2 linked regions of the Macaca fascicularis genome follow. The protein of the gene in region 1 interacts with the protein of each later gene in a biochemical or structural test. Links are inferred from orthologs where the notes say so. Each region holds a gene or a part of one and is shown in the gene's direction. Other genes may lie near its edges.

What was found.
Region 2: of the proteins of CCNB1 (region 1) and ZC3HC1, one has a biochemical effect on the other in vitro, tested with the Homo sapiens proteins (3 studies listed by BioGRID, with this or other methods). The link is inferred for Macaca fascicularis from reciprocal best matches to the Homo sapiens genes CCNB1 and ZC3HC1.

What each region holds. Positions count from the first base shown.
Region 1 is NC_088380.1:74,832,869-74,836,517, forward strand, and holds part of CCNB1 (G2/mitotic-specific cyclin-B1), read left to right. Parts: intron 1-1,788; coding exon 1,789-1,971; intron 1,972-3,649. UniProt on the Homo sapiens protein: Essential for the control of the cell cycle at the G2/M (mitosis) transition.
Region 2 is NC_088377.1:171,558,436-171,562,184, reverse strand, and holds the start of ZC3HC1 (zinc finger C3HC-type protein 1), read left to right. Parts: upstream 1-1,173; 5' UTR 1,174-1,181; coding exon 1,182-1,327; intron 1,328-3,440; coding exon 3,441-3,552; exon of another isoform or gene 3,553-3,749. UniProt on the Homo sapiens protein: Required for proper positioning of a substantial amount of TPR at the nuclear basket (NB) through interaction with TPR.

The sequences.
Region 1 (3,649 bases):
CATGATGCTTTCTTGAAAGGTCCATACCGATTCTTACCTTTGCTTTCCCACTTAGTAAGAATGCCTTCCCTACCCTTTCATTTAGCTAATAACCTTTTCATCCTTGAAAACAGCTCAAGCACCAACTCCTGAAGCTTTCCTGAACTTCTCCCATCTCCACCCCTGTTCCTAGAATCAGTCTTTTTGTTTGTTTTGAGACAGTCTCATTCTGTTGCCCAGGCTGGAGTGCAGTGATGCCATCTCAGCTCACCGCAACCTCTGCCTCCTGAGTTCAAGCGATTCTCCTGCTTCAGCCTCCCAAGTAGCTGGGACTACAGGCACGTGCCACCATGCCTGGCTAATTTTTCTATTTTTAGTAGAGACGGGGTTTCACTATGTTGGCCAAGCTGGTCTCGAACTCCTGATCTCGTGATCCACCTGTCTCAGTCTCCCAAAGTGCTAGGATTACAGACATGAGCCACCATGCCCAGTCTCAGTCTTATTTTTACTTATTTATTTATTTTTTCCCGAGACGGAGTCTTGCTGTGTCACCTAGGCTGGAGTGCAGTGGCGTGATCTTGGCTCATTGCAACCTCCGCCTCCTGGATTCAAGCAGTTCTCTTGCCTCAGCCTCCTGAGTAGTTGGGATTACAGGCACCCGCCACCACACCCAGCTAATTTTTTTTTTTTTTTTCTATTTTTAGTAGAGAGGGAGTTTCACCAGGTTGGCCAGGCTGGTCTCAAACTCCTGACCTCATGATCCGCCAACCTGGGCCTCCCAAAGTGCTGGGATTACAAGTGTGAGCCACCGCGCCCGACCTTATTTCTTTACTTTGTCTACTAAATTCAGAGTCCCTTGAGGATGCCATGAAGTCAATGCCTTGTAGAGTTTGACTTGAAGAAGGGGCTCAATAAATGTTTGAACAATGGGATAAAGGGAGCTTGAAGGAAGTGGTTAATGGTAATGAAGTTAATCCTTAGTAGTCAGGATAGAATTTATGTTATTTTGAGTAGTGAGAAGCAGTTTATATTTTGAAATAAAGACTAAAGACTGAACTGTCCTTTATTTGGATTAACTTCACATGTTGCTGATAAAGATTAATTACTTCTCAGTTTCCTTTGCAGGAAAGTCTAGAATGTGAATTTATTTGCTTCCAACTTTAAACTGACTCACTCTGAGTTGGCATTTCACTCTTTTTTTTTTGCCCAGGCTGGAGCAGAATGGCGCAATCATAGCTCACTGTATCCTCAAACTGCTGGGCTCAAGTGATCCTCCTACCTTGGCCTCCTGAGTAGCTAGGATTATAGGCAGTTGCCTTCATGCCCAGCTAATTTTTTGTAGAGATGAGTTATTGCTATATTGCCCAGGCTGGTCTCGAACTCATGGTCTCAAAGGATCCTCCCACCTCAGCCACCCAAAGAACTGCGATTACAGGCTTGAGCCACCATGCCCGACCTCATTCTTTTTAATTGAGTAATTAAATGATCACTTTCTTTTTTAACAAAGACAGGGTCTTGCTATATTGCCAAGGCTTGTCTTGATCTCCTGGCCTCAACCTCAGCCTCTCAAAGTGCTGAGATTAAAGGCGTGAGCCACCACGCCCAACCCAAATGATCACTTTGGATGTTAATCACTTCCTAAAAAGAAATGGAATAAGTATGAAAAGATACTTTTCCTTTAAGGAAATGAATTGTATGTTGATTCAGGAGAACACTATCTTGAGTTGGTACCAATAACCTGACCTTCAAGCCCAAACTATAGTGCTTACTCCTATTTGCTCTTGTTTCAAGAGATCTCTTTGTTTTAAGGTCGATACTCCCTCTCCAAGCCCAATGGAAACATCTGGATGTGCCCCTGCAGAAGAAGACCTGTGTCAGGCTTTCTCTGATGTAATTCTTGCAGTAAATGATGTGGATGCAGAAGATGGAGCCGATCCAAACCTTTGTAGTGAATATGTGAAAGATATTTATGCTTATCTGAGACAACTTGAGGTCAGTATTATCATTAGTTTTTTTTCTAAACTGCATCTAACTTTATGAAAGTCTTTTCTATCAATAGTTCATAATAATTCAAGCAGGACTTGGGCAGCATTTCTTAAGAGATCGCACTTTCAAATTCTCCTTCATGGAATACCTAAAATAAAAAGTCACTAAATCAATGGAGTCTATTTGCCACTTTGTGCAGGAAAGTTCGAAGTCAGGGTGGATACTACTATCGGTCTTTCTGAAGGAAAGTCCACAGATTGAATTTGATATGTATATATGCAATCTCCACCGTATTTGGAATGGTTAAGTCCCAAACTCTGCATTTTAGGTAATAATGGGTCAGCAAGTGGATGAGAATGTAGAATATACTCAAAGACTACAGCCACCCCTAACACAAGGCATTTTGTGTTAGTGTGGCTGATGTGCGTCCAGTTGTTGGTGAAATTATTTGTGCCCAAAAGGAGTACACTCAAAAGCTACTTTTTGGTTCACTTCAATTTGATCCCACTTTTGAAACTTTCTCTTAATGGCATTTGCCCTTTTCCTACAAACACAAGTATTCTATATGGCAGCATAAACATAGTAGCGTCAACTATACCGTTATCACATTTACCTAGTTTTTTGGTGTGTGTGTGTGTGTGTGTGTGTGTTTTTTTTTTTTTTTTTTAGAGGGAGTCTCACACTGTCGCCCAGGCTAGAGGGCAATGGTGCCGTCTCAGCTCACTGCAATCTGCCTCCTGGGTTCAAGCAAGTAATTCTCCTGCCTTAGTCTGCCGAGTAGTTGGGATTGCAGGCACACACCACCATGCCTGGCTAATTTTTTGTATTTTTATTTGGTTTTGGTTTTTTGAGACAGGGTCTTGCTCTGTTGCCCAGGCTGGAGTGCAGTGGTGCAATCTCGGCTCACTGCAACCTCTGCCTCTCGGGTCAAGTGATTCTCATGCCTCAGCCTCCTGAGCAGCTGGGATTACAGGTGCCCACCACAACACCCAGCTAATTTTTGTACTTTTAGTAGAAATGAGGTCACCATATCGGCCAGGCTGGTCTCAAACTCCTTAGATGATCCACCCACCCGGCCTCCCAAAGTGCTGGGATTACAGGCATGAGCAGTCGTGCCCAGCCCCCAGTTGTTTTTAATGCATCGTCTTAATGTCATCACTGACATCTCTTGCCTGCTCCTTTGGGGCCTCTCCTTTTTCTATAGGATTCTTCTGCAAGACTTCTATGCCAGGAGTAGCCTTCTGCTTTGAGTTTCTTCTGCCATCTTTTTAGGGCTTTTTAAAGTTGTGTTCTAACTTTGGAGGATACCTTTTTTTTTTGAGACAGTCTCGCTGTGTCACCCAGGGGGTGTGCCGTGGCTCACTGCAAGCTCCGGCTCCCAGGTTCACGTCATTCTCCTGCCTCAGCCTCCTGAGTAGCTGGGACTACAGGCACGTGCCACCATGCCTGGCTAATTTTTTGTATTTTTAGTAGAGACAGGGTTTCACCATGTTAGCCAGGATGGTCTCGATCTCCTAACGTCATGATCCACCCACCTTGGCCTCCCAAAGTGCTGGGATTACAGGCATGAGCCACCGTGCCCAGCCTGTAAATGTGCTGTTTCTTGATGCTTCGTTCTTGTTCTGTGCAAGGCGGCCATATATGCAAAGCAACCCCCCAAATGTCAGAGGAGCTGAGAAACCAA
Region 2 (3,749 bases), on another chromosome or scaffold:
ACAACTGTCATTGCCAGTGCCTAGAGACTATCAACAGGAGATTTTTGGCTGGGCAAGGTGGCTTATGCCTGCAATCCCAGCACTTTGGGAGGCCGAGGCAGGTGGATCACCTGAGGTCAGGAGTTCAAGACTAGCCTGGCCAACATGGTGAAATCCCATCCCTAATAAAAATACAAAAAAAAAAAAAAAAAAAAAAATTGCTGGGCGAGGTGGCGCATGCCTGAAAGCCCAGCTACTCAGGAGGCTGACATAGAAGAATTGCTTGAACCCGGGAGGCAGAGGTTGCAGTGAGCCGAGATTGAGCCATTGCACTGCAGCCTGGGCAACAAGAGCAAAACTCCGTCTCAAAAAAAAAAAAAAAAAAAAAATAGGATGCTTTCAATAAATATTTGTTGAACGAAGGAAGGAGTATCAATAGCGTCAAATGCCACAGACTTCTAAATCCATCCATAACACAGTTTCCAACAAGGATTCTAAATTATTTGCTCTCAAGAGAGGGACACCATTTCCTCGCTTGTAAAAAGACGCAACTTAGTAGGGTCGTAAGAGTTTTTTTTTTTTTTTTTTTTTTTTTTTTTTTTTTTTTTTTTTTTTTTAAACGGAGTTTAGCTCTTGTCGCCCAGGCTGGAGTGCAGTGGAGCGATCTCGGCTCACTGCAACCTCCGCCTCCCGGGTTCAAGTGATTCTCCTACCTCAGTCTCCCTAGTAGCTAGGATTACAGGCGCCTGCCAGCACGTCCAACTAATTTTTGCATTTTTGGTAGAGATGGGGTTTCACCATGTTGGCCAGGCTGGTCTCGAACTCCTGACCTGAGGTGATCCGCCCGCCTCGGCCTCCCAAACTGCTGGGATTAGGCATGAGCCACTGTGCCCGGCCGTATTAGTATTAGTTGAAAACTAAGTTAAGCCCCTCATCCCTGCTGAATTTGGACAGACCGCGTTCTAAAAATCTCTTATCAACCTAAATATGCTAGTTGATAAAGGAAATGATTAATCAAGATTGTCCTAAACACTACAGCCCTCCTTAAGCTCGCTCTAAGGTTCTAAAACGACCAAAAAAGGCGTGGACCATGCGGTTAAACTCTCCCGGTCAGGCTGCCTCAAGAGGCGGATATTAACCTCTCAGGACGGAAGTTCCGGAGCCTTCAAACGCTCGGGGAAGCGACTCGGCAGCGGACCAAGATGGCGGCGCCCAGTGAGGGACAAGCGTTTGCCGTAGGGGTTGAAAAGAATTGGGGTGCAGTTGTTCGCTCCCCAGAAGGGACCCCCCAGAAAATCCGGCAGCTGATAGATGAAGGGATTGCCCCGGAAGAGGGAGGCGTGGACGCGTGAGTTCACGAGTTAGCCCTGGGTCCGGCATTGGAAGATTGGAGAAGGCTTGGGGAGGGGGTGGCGTGTCGCGTGGGGGGTTCCCCTCGGTCGGCGTCTCGGGCAGTGGGGATGGCTTCTTCTTAGGATCTGAAAGATACTCTGGTTACTATGTTTGATCGGCTTTGATCTTCCCGTCGGGATGTACCGGATTCCCAACCGCAGCCGAAATTTTGTCATCGGACATTATTTTTGGAAGGAAAAAAAGAGGACCGTCAACTGAATGAGTTCACCTGACTTCTCTTAATTGGGAATTCTTAACCTTTTTTTGTGCCGTGGACCCCTTTGGTTCTCTGGAGAAGCTTATTAACTCTCGTAATATTTTTAAATGCTTGAAGTAAATTACATAGGATTATAAAGGAAACCAGTTAGATTAGAATGTAGTTATCAAGATAGTAAAAGGAAAAAGTTATGCAGTAACATTCTTTTTATTAAAGAGTTCATAATATCTAGTAGTATGTCTTGTCAACCGTAAAAGGTATTTGAAAACGTGCAACCACCGTAATGTGGGAACATTATTTCCATAGATGACAAATTAACGGGTACTAATACTACTATGGTGTTTTTACCTTCATTCATAATTGAAGAAAATGCTAAATCTTGTCATTTAAAGAGAAATAAATGTCATTTTTACCTATCCAAGTTTATGGATGCTGTGAATTTTTTTTCTTGGGGAAAAAATTTTTTTTCCCACACCGCCTTGAGGCTTTCTATGAATCTCTGAGAGTTTTAGAATAAGTTTATTTCTTTTGAGCTATAATCGTTGATGTAATCCTATTTTTATTAAAATAATGTTTGTCGCCTGGCGCGGTGGCTCATGCCTGTAATCCCAGCACTTTGAGGAGGCTGAGGCGGGCAGATCACGAGGTCAGGAGATTAAGACCATCCTGGCTAACACGGTGAAACCCTGTCTCTACTAAAAATACAAAAAAATAGCCGGGCGTGGTGGCCCGCCCCCGTAGTCCCAGCTACTCGGGAGGCTGAGGCAGGAGAATTGCTTGAACCCAGGAGGCGGAGGTTGCAGTGAGCCGAGATTGTGCCACTGCACTCCAGCCTGGGCGACCGAGCGAGACTCCGTCTCTGAATGAATGAATGAATGCATGCATGCATCCTTGTCTTTCAGCAATTCCCCGAATTCCCCGAGCACTGTTGAAATGCCTTCCACTGAAAATGAGAGAATTGCTTTGCTGAGTTTTTTCTCCCTGATTTTTTTTTTTTTCATGAAATTTCCTGAAGATCTTTACTTTGATTCGAATTTTCTAATTGGTTCTTTTTTTTTTTTTTTTTTGGAAGGAGAGGGTATCAAAGGTTCCTGCAGGTAGAAATATCAAAATTGTTTTTTCCGCTGTTATGAGTCGAATTTCTGCCAGGCGCGGTGGCTCATGCCTGTAATCCCAGCACTTTGGGAGGCTGAGGCGGGCAGATCACGAAGTCAGGAGTTTGAGACCAGCCTGACGAATACGGTGAAACCCCGTCTGTACTAAAGATACAAAAAATTAGCCGGGCCCACGCCCAGTGGTGCGCAACTACTCGGGAGGCTGAGGCAGGAGAATTGCTTGATCCCAGGAGGCGGAGGTTGCGGTGAGCTGAGATCATATGTACCATTGCATCCCAGCCTGGGCTACAGAGTGAGACTCCGTCTCACAAAAAAAAAAAAAAAAAAAAAAAAAAGTCGAATTTCTGAAGAGATTCAAATTGTATAATGCATACCTGAAGTCTTTCTGTTTACTAAAGTTATGCAAAATACTTATGGAGAACAGTGAATGAGTGAGGAGAATAGTTTACTAGGATTAGTGGAGCCCTGTAGAGGTAGAAATTGACTGAAGTTTAGATATGGGTAAACTGTAAAGAGTTTTGAATGCCAGACTGAAGAATTTGGATTTTATTTAGTAAGTATTATAAAACCATTGAAAATAATAACCTGAGGAATGACATGAGTAAAATGATTTTTAGGAAGCTTAAAATCCAGCGTTGGTGTGATTTATGATACAATGTGTAGAGAAGCTAGATAGAAAACATTTAAGCAGAGGGTACTGTGAAAAGTTTACCAACAGTTTTGCCACTTTATATTAGGAAGGACACGTCTGCCACTTCCCAGTCAGTTAATGGATCACCCCAAGCGGAACAACCTTCATTGGAATCTACAAGCAAAGAAGCCTTCTTTAGCAGAGTGGAAACATTTTCTATATCCTTTTTTAGTTCATGTGAATTGCACTTTCTGCCTGCTTCTAGAATTCCTCCAACGTATTACACTACTTACTGTAATGTTTTAAACTTTAGAATCAAACCTTGGTAAGAAGTTATATAGGAAAGTCAGCATCCTAATGTGTTATCACTCAGAGGGACAGTTGAGGTTATCTAACCTTTTCTTTTTACAGAAGA